Linked DNA regions of Ovis aries. The protein of the gene in region 3 interacts with the protein of the main gene of each other region in a pairwise test. Links are inferred from orthologs where the notes say so. Each region holds a gene or a part of one and is shown on either strand. Other genes may lie near its edges.

Region 1 (3,649 bases), on a different chromosome or scaffold from region 3:
CCAAACACTCCCCCGCTACCGTCTGGTTGGAATAAAGCCAAGAGATCTGGGCGACCTGGTGCAGTTTAAAAACAACAAGCATCTTTTATTCTCCTTCCAGTTTCAGTATCCAGAGGCTATGGTTAACAGGTTTTCAATGTGCAAATCATTTCATTCCTCCAAAGCCAGAGGGGAATAAAAGCTGTACATCATCTCCAATCCATATTCATCGGGAGCGCCCTGGGGCTTGTCATCCTGCTGGCACTGGGCCAGGTTTCAGGGTCTGGCGGAAAGAGGTCTGTAGGCTTTGGGACTTGGTGTCTGGCCCCTTGAGATGAGATTAGTTCTCCAATAACCTGAATGTCTCTAGGGGAGGCAGCAGCACACGGGCGTGGAATCCCTCTAGATGGCCAGATCGGGCGTGAGTGGAGTGAAAACCCCAGGATGTTGCTAACAGCCACAGTGAAAGCCGGGGGCCAGAGTTACGAGCCTGCTGGACGGAAGTGGGCATCTGCACAAGGCTAGGAGGGCAGGATCGTACACTGGCTAAAGCGGTAGGGGAAAACGGCAAATTGTTTCTTCTGGTGTGAAAGGGCATGAGGAAAGGGAGCTGGGCTTAGACAGTGAATGAAGATCCCAGGACGGAGCTTTCCGTGGGCGGTGGGGAGTGGTCTCCTTTCCTCCAGGGGAGTGAACGCAGGATGAGGGAGAAACAGGCACACGGTAAAATAAACCACTGGGGGGTAACGTGAACCTGGCTGAAGACACATGAGACTTTGGATTTTTGAACAGACAGGGCCAAGGAAGACGTCAGACTATTATTTGAGTCAAAACTGAAAACGAGAAGGCACCTCTGAGAAACGGCACAAAACTAAGCTGCGTGAAGTGACTGCAGCTTTGGCCAGAGTTTTAGCAGTCAGACGGCCAGGAAGGTCTGAGCCGCTTCGGGGACAGTAGGGTGCACCCGGTCCTCAGGGTGACGGCCGCACGCTGGGCCTGCGGACGGGGTCTGCGGACGTCTCCTCGGCCCTGTCTGCCCTGCAGCAGCCGCGGGCACATGCAAGCGGTCAGGTGGGCAGCGGGGGCCCTACGCACAGCACAGGCATGGAGGGGGCGGTTAGGCCAGAGGGTGAGGCTGGGTGTCGCAAGTCATTCAGGGGAGCAGAAGATGAAAAGCAGAGCTTACTTGTTGATGTTTGCAAGATAAATATCGGCTACATGACCCCCACTGGGACAGCTGGCCCCCGCTCTGGCCGTCACCTTTTCTTCAGGTGGCTCAGAAATGACCTCAATCTCAGACTTGGGGCTGGACCTCTCCACGACACCGTCCTCGCTGGGGCAGGAGGGGCAGGCAGGCAGGGAGGAGGGGAAAACAACAACAACACAAAAAGCAGTGTTAAATCGGCAAGATGGCCCCCCCAACACACACGCGACCCCGCAATGGCTCTGAGGCAGCAGCGACGCCTGGCTGGGCTCGGGGAGCGGAGGCAAGGGGAGCTACGGGCCTCTGGAGGGTCGCTTAAATACAAATAAATAATCCTGCCGAGTCCTGTGGGGTCCTCAGCTCCTCCGGAAAGCTTGGCTAGGGGACACCTGGATTCGCGGCATCTGCCTTCTACCCCTCGCTGCTCTCCTGGGGCCGCGGTGCTGGGGCCACCTCCTGCAGGTTGCGGTTTGTGTGCTCAGGTCCCGAGCAGCGCTGGGGAGGGACAGTCAGCTCTGCCGCGGCTCTGGAGGTGCCGGCGTTGAGGCAGGACCCCGCCACACTCTGTCGTAGCGCGTCCAGCCCCGCTTAGAGCGTCCAAGCCGGTCCCACTTCTCGCCACTGCTCTCCCGGCCCCTCTGGCTACTGATGACAAAGAAAGCCCCTTCTCCCCCACAATTCATCTTCTCTCGGTCCTGCGGTGAAGTCATAATGCTAAATTTGGGAGGGTCCTGTCCGCGCACAGATGGCCACCAGGTGTGCGATGTTATCAACAGGGAGAGGACTTCCCCGCAGAGCGAGCCGGGGAGAGGCTTGGGAGGGCGCAGACTCATTCAGGATATCAACCTTTAAAAAATAATATTAAGGGGAGGACTAAAAACACTGACAGCATCGCAGCCAAGGGGAGTTGGGGGCAGAGGCGGGGCGCTGGGCAGGGGGCAGGTCTGGGGGGCCACGGGGAAAAGCCTTCCTGATGGGGAGACACGGCTTCAGAGAGCGGGACTCCACAGACAGCCCACGCAAGGAAGTCTGTCTGCGATCGGCCCACGGCCCTCGGCTCCCCGGCGTTCCTCCCCGTCCTCTCCCCCGTCTTTCCCCACGTCAACCTCATTAAATGAACTGGGTTATTTCTACAAAGCTGCTTAGGCTACATTTCTACTAGAAAATAGGCTCAACATTTTCATTTACAAGTGGACAAGTGCCATCAGTGACCCAACAGGTTGGGGTGAACACGATTGTTTTTAAAATAGGAAAGATAAATCAAAACGTTTTCCCAACCTGATCGTTCCAGAAAGGAACTGTAAGTGGTCAGATAATTAGCCCTAATTATCACTCATCAGGTATAAATGTGGATGAGCGTGGGCTGGGGGAGGTGGAGGTGTGGCTGGCGGAGGAGTGGAGTGGAGAGACTGAAAACAATTCTCCACCTCTCTGACTCTGGGCACCTTCCCAAGGAAGAGCAGCACTTGCAGACTGTGCTGGGGCCCATAGGGGCTGGCCTCCCTCATCCTCCTGGGCTTCAGAAGTAAGGACTCACTCCCACAGGGCGGCCAGGGGCCCCTAAGGGTGCAGGGCACCCTACGTACGTGTCTTGGACCACGATGTACTGATGGGGGATGAGACCGTCGATGCCGTTGTGCCGGCCTTCCCACCAGTCGTCAGAAGCCCGCTGGTAAAGCAGCAAAGATGCCCCCTTCTTGAAGGACAGCTCTCGGGCCGTGCGGCCCACGTAGTCAAACTTGGCAATGGCCTCGATGGGCTCACACTCTGAGAGGGGTGGAGAGAAGGAAACACAGGCTGCTGGGACTCACACTTGGCAACTGGGTGGAAGAGCCCAGTTAGCTGAACTCACAGTGGTGGGAAGATAAGCTGGTGTGAGAATAAGTCACGGATGATATACAATAGCCAGCAATTCCTGAGCAGATGGTGCAAACCCCTGAAAGCACTCACATGCCCTTCCCTGCCCTTGCTCCTGCTGTTCGCTCCACCTGGAATCCCTCTTTCTCTCTCACCTGCCTGATGAAACACACTGAATCACAACTCAAACATCACTTGCTTCCTCGAGTAACTTCCTTTGTGTTTCCATAGTGCTTTATGCCAACCCCTATCATCGAACCTGCCATATTGTAGTTGTAAGCATTATTTCCTTTTCGGCTGTACAATAACTCCATTAATTTAGAACACTTATTATTGCATTTTAAATAATCTGTTTAGGTTATCCATTCCCCCTACTAGAACATGAACTTTTAGTCTCTATAAAGAGAAAATAACTTACCCAATCAGCTTTCCAAAGAGCAAAATGTGGAAATATATTTTGTGACCAATACATGGAAAAATGCACATGGAAGTGATTTGAAGACTTAACAGAGGTTTACAAAGGCAATGTACTTCTACTTTTGTATAAGCTTCAGCTTCCTCGTCTATAAAACGAGGAAAAGAATAGTGCCTTTTTCATGAAGTCGGCAG
Region 2 (3,749 bases), on a different chromosome or scaffold from region 3:
GTAAAATATTTAAGAGATTTTGTGAGCTCATTCATTCTTATCCATTAAAGGGCAGAGCTCATTTCCCCCCCTCAATCCTTCTAACTTTTCAACAGACACGTTAACTTTAGGGCTTAAGAGTGTCTAAAGCCCTTGGTTTGGGCCCCTCCGAGTTTCCAGGATGAAAAAACCACGTGAAATTGGATCCTCGTGTGTTCCACCCACAAGCTGGCCTCAGTGGTGTAATTCATTCTGTCGGGCAGCTTGCTATTGCTCAACTTCAAGGAGGGAACGCCAGCAACCACTCTGCAGCTATTAAAACAGAATGAACCAGCCTGGGGTCAGCAGGACAGGAGCCACCTTCGCTTCAGGACCCAGCTCTCTGTACCTCAAGTTCAGTCTCCCGCCTGTTGATGTCATCCGTGGATTGATTGAGTTTCTCCAGTTCTCCCTGATGAAGAAAAGGGACAGAAAAAAAAGACTTCAGGGATGCTTGTCTTTGGTTTCCACTGTGACTCAGCCCCAAAATCTGCAAAATTACTCTGGTCAGTTTGTAGGAAGAGGAACCAGTCCATATTAATTGTCAAGGAAAACAGTTGTGCCTTGGCTGGAAGAACAAATGAATGTCAGCATTTCTGAAACCCTTTTCTTGAGAGTGGCCTTTTTGAAAATGACTTAAGGTTCCAGGAATTTGTCTTTTCTTAGAAGGTCAATTATTTATTGCAGGTTTGTGCCTTCAGGTAAACCCACCTGTTATAAACGGTTTAGAGGCTAAATCAAAATAATGCTTTCTGCTTTAGAGCAGGAATTTTGCAGAAAAGATAATAAAAGAAAACAAAGCCAAGCCTAAAGTATTGAAATCATGCGAACCAAGGGTGGAATTCTGGCATTAACTCACCCAAAGTTGAGCATTTTTCTGTAGAAAGCATTTTCTTTTCCAACTGCCAATTATTCAAACTACCTAGCTGTTTACAAAACAACTAAAACTAGCTTTAATCCTGATCCTTTAAATATTTACAAGCTAACATTTTGTAAAAAGCGCCCAGCATGAAGTTAACTCTTTTTGCTCTGCAAACAAAGGATCTTGTTAACAGAATTCCCCTACCAAGAAAACAAAATGTAGTAGCCCAAACTGATTTTAATAGAATTCCTAATAGGAAGCTTTTTCCCCCTGATTTTTATCTTGCTCACCTGCCGTAACAATTCAGTTAAACACAACAGCTGAGTTAAATGAGCTTTTTAATAGATCTGCACACTGAAAAACCAATTAGGTCTCCAGAAATCGCAGTTCATGCTGAAAAGCAGGGTTTGTTACAAGTGACTTACGGAAGAGTGGAAACATGGGTCTTACAAAGGGGTGTGCTGTGCTCTTTTGCTTAGAGGGTGAAGAGGTTAAGCTGTCACTTTGAGATCTCGGCTAGGAAATTGCTTTTTAATCATCTCCCGGAGAAATGGAGGCGCAGGAAGCAGGCCAACCCTCTCGCCTTCTCGCGCGTCAGCTTTGCGCACCAGTTGGCCCTGGTTTCTGTTCACACTCGACCTCACAAGGAGGAAAAGCTGGGTTTTAAACCGTTTGAGGCCAGCCGGAGGGCTGCGCCGGGGGTGACAATAAACCCTTCGGTTTGCTAACAATGAATCGGCGCGGGGGCGGGGGTGGCTCCGGACGGTCCCCTCTGCCAGGTGAGGGCTCCGACCCCCGGGCAGGGCGGCCGCCCCAGTTGTAGGTGGGTGGCCGGCGCCCACCGCCCCGGGGGCGCGCGCTATGCCGCCGGCCGGGCTCCGGGAGTCCGGAGGTTGCGCAGAGCCCGCGGCGCGCAGAGCCGGATCGGGTACCCCCGAACCCGGCGAGGCGCCCCCGCCCCCTTTCCTCTTTGTTGCACGTCCGCCCCAAGCGCAGGGCACGCTGCGGGCAATCTCCCGGGTCCAAGCGGGAGTCCCGGCGATGGAGTCGGGCCGCGTCCGCGCGGGCACCGCAGCCTCCCCAGGAACCGGGCGAAACTCGGCGCTCGGAGCCTCTCCCCCGCAGCCCCGGGCCTCCCCGGGCCGCTCCCCTGCGCGCAGGCACCCGGAGCTCCGAGGCGGGCTGAGCGCGGAGGCCAGGGCCCCCGCGCGCCCCCCGCGCCTCCTACCTGGATCCGGGGGTCCACCTCCTCCTCGTCCGCCAGCCCGGGCTCCATCCCGGCTTCCTCCTCCTCCTCCTCCTCCTCCGAGTCCCGGGCGGGCGGCGGGCGCTCCGCCGGCCCCTCCGGGCGGTTCCGCCTCGGCGCCGCGTCCATGCCGGCTGCGGCCAGGGACGCGCTGGGCTGGCAGCCGCAGGTCGCGCCGGAGCCTCCTGGCCACGGCCGGGCGGGGGAGCTGGGCGCCGCTCGCGGCCGCGGGTCCCCGGGCTCCGGAGGAAGTGGGCGCGGTCGCCCCCTCTCCGCCGCGGCCGTCAGCGCCGGCCGCTCCGCCCCCGGCCCGCCCCGCGCCGCCCGGCTCGGCCCGGCCGCCCGGGGAACCGCGCTCCGTCACAAAACCTCCCCACCAGCAAGCCCGTAGGTGGTGAAATGGGGGAGCCCTCACCCCAGTTTTAACTTAGCCGCCGGAAGAGATCGCCAGCTCCCCAAGGTCGGCCGCCGGGTGTCCGGGTGCTCTTCCCCCTCCCGCCTCTGCCAAGGCGAAGTGACTCCGTGGAGGGAAATTGTTAATCGCTCAGTGGTGTCCGACTCTTTGCGACCCCATGGATTTAGCCCCCAGGCCCTCTGTCCATGGAGATTCTCCAGGCAAGAACACTGGAGTGTGTTGCCTTGCCCTCCTCCAGGGGATCTTCCTGACCCAGTGGTGAAAACCGGGTCTCCTGCTTTGCGGGCGGATTCTTTACGGTCTGAGCCACCAGGGAGGCACGTGGAAGGAAAGTCGGGGGGTATTTCCACCATCTGAAGTCCCCTTTAGAAGCTTGTCCTCCGTGACCTTGGACCAGTTGCAAGACTCAAACCCCTGTGTACACTCCAAGCATTTCTGTTCCCTTGGGTGAAGCTGAAGAAATGTATCCCCAGAAAAGGGAACGGAAACGCGCGCTCGCATAGCAGACACGCAATGACCCAGAGGGGAGCCGCCGGCTCCAGCTCCAGGGGTGGATTCCTTGTCCAAAGGCTGTGTCCCCACTGAGCAGAGCTCCACACCCAAGAAGCTCTGCCTTCAGAGTTGTGGGATGGCCCTACCTGAATAGCTGGGAAGCATGGGAAATCCATTGATCAGGGTTGTGGGTGGTTGCGTGTGTGCCTGCAGCCTTCTCCAGGAGATGTGAGTGTTAACCTCTGTAAATGGACACACTCCATCCAAGGGGTTACTGACTGAGGAGGTTTCCTGCCCACCCTGAACAGAATGGGGCGCCAGAACTTGCCCCGCAAACTCAAAAAAATCCAAATAAAGGTCATGTCTGCGCTTTTATGAAATGTCAGGGCCACTGTGATGTCAGGGGAGCAGAAGGTCAGATGACCCTAGCAAAGCAGGCAAGGACATTGCCACTGGCCGTTGCTAACATCTCTTTCACTACAAAAACGCAGAGTGTACGCTCTTTCTACGCAAAGGCTTGTGGCCTGTGGGCTCTGTTGAGTTTGGAGGGCAGACTTACTTGGGAAAGGAGCTTCTTTCTGAGAGCTTGTCATTAAAACCAGCCTTGGGAAACCTGTTTATGGTTGGTTTTATCAGAAGCCAAGTTGGGGGGTTACCCCTTGGGCAAGGTTCCGCCCTACACACTCTGGCACCGTGGTCCTCCCCATCAAAGGAGT
Region 3 (3,649 bases):
CACACGTACAGACATCACTGTTGATCATCTCGAGAAGACTCTTGCTAAAATGCAAATGTAATCCACAAGGTCATTTTTGTGTTTAAAAAATGAATTTCAATTTTACATAGTGATAGCCCATATGAACCCTAAAACATAAGTAGTTCCTGGTAAATACAAGTGGGTTTTATGTACTGTTTGTTTTTCAAATTTAAGAAATCTTTACTTTCAGAAAACTTAAAAAAGACTATAGACTATGGAAAATAATGAACAGATCTGTACCCCAACTTCTAACTTAATCAGAAATAATGAAAACCGACCAAAAATACCAGAAATAAGGAAAACCACCACCAAAAACTTCTTCATAATGTAACAAAAGCTTACCATTAACAAATACCCCTCTGATAAGTTTAGTATATGCTTTATCTAGATCTCCACGACGCTCGGCATTTTTAAAGATTGATTCTGCGAGTCCAGCAAATTCTTCAAATTCAGCAACAAATGGGAGAATTCCTACTTTACTCTTCTTTGAGATCTTTACTTCTTCCATTTGCCTTATTTGGTTACTCTAAAGTTAGGCAGAAAGCAAGGGAGAAAAATAGCTAAGCAACTTAGAAACAACATACAATTAAAAGCAAATATATATACCACAAAGGCATGATGTAATTTAATACCTAGAACATTTTGGACATTTACTAACCAAAGAGTAATACAATATGGATAACTAAGAAAAACTATTGCTAGAGATTAAAAAGTACATATATAATATTTAAGAAACTAAAATCAAGGAAAAAAATCCAAATTATCCAAAACAAAATGCACTCAAAGCTTGTGAACCTCAGGTCTTTGTTTAAAGTAAAAACAACTAATGAACACTTCTATCATTTATAAAAGGTAAGTATATAGTGATTGCCCATTCTGGGGCAGAGCAGATACCAGAGCACACACAGGATCTCTCACAATTATTTCTGGTTGGTGGCTATATAGTCAAGTTGAGAACCACAACCATTTCCAAATCTCAACAGCCTAAAATTTGTTTGGATAGAGAAGTTCTATATTTTGGGGGTATGAGAACAGAGACGGAGATCAGGTATTTCTACTGTGGATTTGCATATATAGTTTTCCATGTATCTATTAGTTATTTACTCTAAATCTGTATAGTAAAGTACTTGTGTAAGATGGATACAAAGTACAAATAGACATATATACAGAATATAGACACTTTGGTTCAAAATAATCAATTATGATTCTGTGTACTTCCAGGGGATCTAGTTCTATTCCCGGTAAGAAGTACATTGCCAAAGTGTTGAATCATTTTCAACTCCTACCTAAAACGTCATTATGCTGAGATTTTGGGGATATAACCTGAAAACCATACGACATGTAGAGATTAGAAAAGTAATTGTTCTTTTGTTCAATATGGTATTGGAAGTTCTAGACATAGCAATCAGACAGGAAAAATAAATAAAAGCAATCCAAATTGGACAAATAATTCTAAAACCTGTATGGAAACACAAAAGATCATAATAGCCAAAGTAAGCTCAAGAAAGAACAAAATCAGAGGTATTATGCTCCCTGATTTCAAACTATACTACAAAGTTATAGTCATCAAACAATATGGTACTGGTACAAAAACAGACATGTAGATCAATGGAACAGAGTACCCAGAAATAAACCCATCCTTATATGTTTAATTAATCTATGACAGAGAAGGCAAGAATATACAATGAGGAAGAGGCACCCAAATCATATCATTTTCAAAGGTTAAAGAGTACAAAACCACATCACTATAGTGTGGGGAATTCTGAAAAGCAAAGTAAATTCAGGTAAGAAATGTACTGGAGTGCAGTGTCCAGCTTGGTAGTACTTGATATGTTTCTAATTTTATCTCTAGTTCTTGGTAGGCTAATCTTTTTAGCCCTGTTCCTTGAAGAACACTTTGGGCTTGGCCACCAGATGAAAGTACTAAACTCAGATGCTATCTATTTCACTTTCTGCAGTCGTCTGACATTCATTCTTTGGTTCAATACACACAGAACCATTCACTACTTTTTCAAGGTATGCCTTAGGTCCAGATCTTGTCCCAAGTACCAAAACATGTAACACTTAACTGAGCATGCACAACTGACTGGACACTGTGAAAAGACTTGAGTTAAAATAAGAAACATTGATGACAACCAACAGAAGGAACCATCCTTCTCCCTTTAGTGACAAAAGGTAAAGCTTTTAGAAATACATGCAATTTAGGAAAAAACATGACTTTATACCTTTGTCTAGGTAAATTTTACTAAATTTCTTCACTTCCCAGTTTTGAGAGTAACATGAACATTCTTCAGCAAACTATTATTAATTACTACTGTTATTCCCTGGTGACTCAGATGGTAAAGCATCTGCCTACAATGTGGGACACTCGGGTTCGATCCCTAGGTCAGGATGATCCTCTGGAGAAGGAAATGGCAACCCACTCCAGTACTCTTGCCTGGAAAATCCCATGGATGGAGGAGCGTGGTAGGCTACAGCCCATGGGGTTGCAAAGAGTTGGACGTGACTAAGAGACTTCACTTTCACTTTCATTACTGTCATCATCACCATTACAAGTGATTCTGTACCAGGCAATGTGCTAAGCACTTCATTTGAACCCATGCCTACATCTACCTGATACTATTACATCTTACACTTTTAATAATTACATTCAACTGGATTGAGAGGTATTATATTAAAGTTTTATATAATAGTTTTATTTTACTGATAAGAGCAACAAAATCTTCATATTCTAAAAATGTATAGTGTTCTCATGATTAGTGTTCTAGCTATTCTTATTCTATGTCACATGGGACTCATTATCTCAGACTTCAGTAATTCTTTATTTTCCTTTTGGCTATCAGCTTACAATCAGACCTTACAGGTTTATCATCACTTATGAAGAAAGCTGGGCAGGGAAGAGGATAAGTGGCCAAATTTCATAATATTTCAAATGCCAGTGCAGTCATTTGGTGGGGAAGGAGGGTTAACAAGTCTGTTGAGGTGACATTTAAGTTTCTACGGATGGCTTTTAAACTTTCAGAAATCAGTAAATATTATTTTTAAAAAGTATAAAGATGATGTGGATTTTAATTACCCTTAATATTTTTATTATTCTCTCATTATTCTATGGGCTTCCCTGGTGGCTCAGCCGGTAAAGAATCTGCTTGCAAAGCGAGAGACCTGGGTTCGATCCCTGGGTTGGGAAGATTCCCCTGGAGGAAATGGCTACCCACTCCAGTATTCTTACCTGGATAATTCCATGGACAGAGGAGTCTGGCAAGCTACTGACCATGGGGTCACAAAGACTCAAACATGACTGAGTGACTTTCACTCACTCATTATTCTATGGCTATTCAAGCACTGGATTTAACTTAGAGGTTACACAGTAGAATAATTCAGATGATAAATATCTACTTTTACATATTAATACTAAATACATTAATAAAATGAAACTCTTTTTAGAACCTGGTCCAATCCTGTTCATATCTATGAGCTTTCCAAAACCTAACAGAAAAAATAAAGTTAATGATTTTTTTCCTATTAGAAGGAGAAAAATGATAACTGCCAAAAGTTCTCATAAGAACAACTTATTCTTAAGGTAATATGATTAAAGCTATTAAACTAAAAAAATACTTTAATCAATTAA

Evidence for each region.
Region 1: the proteins of EXOC1 (region 3) and SRGAP2 interact in a two-hybrid assay, tested with the Homo sapiens proteins (2 studies listed by BioGRID and IntAct). The link is inferred for Ovis aries from reciprocal best matches to the Homo sapiens genes EXOC1 and SRGAP2.
Region 2: the proteins of EXOC1 (region 3) and SH3BP5 interact in a two-hybrid assay, tested with the Homo sapiens proteins (2 studies listed by BioGRID and IntAct). The link is inferred for Ovis aries from reciprocal best matches to the Homo sapiens genes EXOC1 and SH3BP5.

What each region holds. Positions count from the first base shown.
Region 1 is NC_056065.1:4,060,020-4,063,668, reverse strand, and holds part of SRGAP2 (SLIT-ROBO Rho GTPase-activating protein 2), read right to left. Parts: intron 2,951-3,649; coding exon 2,770-2,950; intron 2,030-2,769; coding exon of another isoform or gene 2,017-2,029; exon of another isoform or gene 1,313-2,016; coding exon 1,166-1,312; exon of another isoform or gene 1,067-1,165; coding exon of another isoform or gene 889-1,066; exon of another isoform or gene 60-888; intron 1-59. UniProt on the Homo sapiens protein: Postsynaptic RAC1 GTPase activating protein (GAP) that plays a key role in neuronal morphogenesis and migration mainly during development of the cerebral cortex. Regulates excitatory and inhibitory synapse maturation and density in cortical pyramidal neurons.
Region 2 is NC_056054.1:273,378,032-273,381,780, forward strand, and holds the start of SH3BP5 (SH3 domain-binding protein 5), read right to left. Parts: upstream 2,384-3,749; 5' UTR 2,256-2,383; coding exon 2,109-2,255; intron 431-2,108; coding exon 368-430; intron 1-367. UniProt on the Homo sapiens protein: Functions as a guanine nucleotide exchange factor (GEF) with specificity for RAB11A and RAB25. Inhibits the auto- and transphosphorylation activity of BTK. Plays a negative regulatory role in BTK-related cytoplasmic signaling in B-cells.
Region 3 is NC_056059.1:72,041,197-72,044,845, reverse strand, and holds part of EXOC1 (exocyst complex component 1), read right to left. Parts: intron 548-3,649; coding exon 364-547; intron 1-363.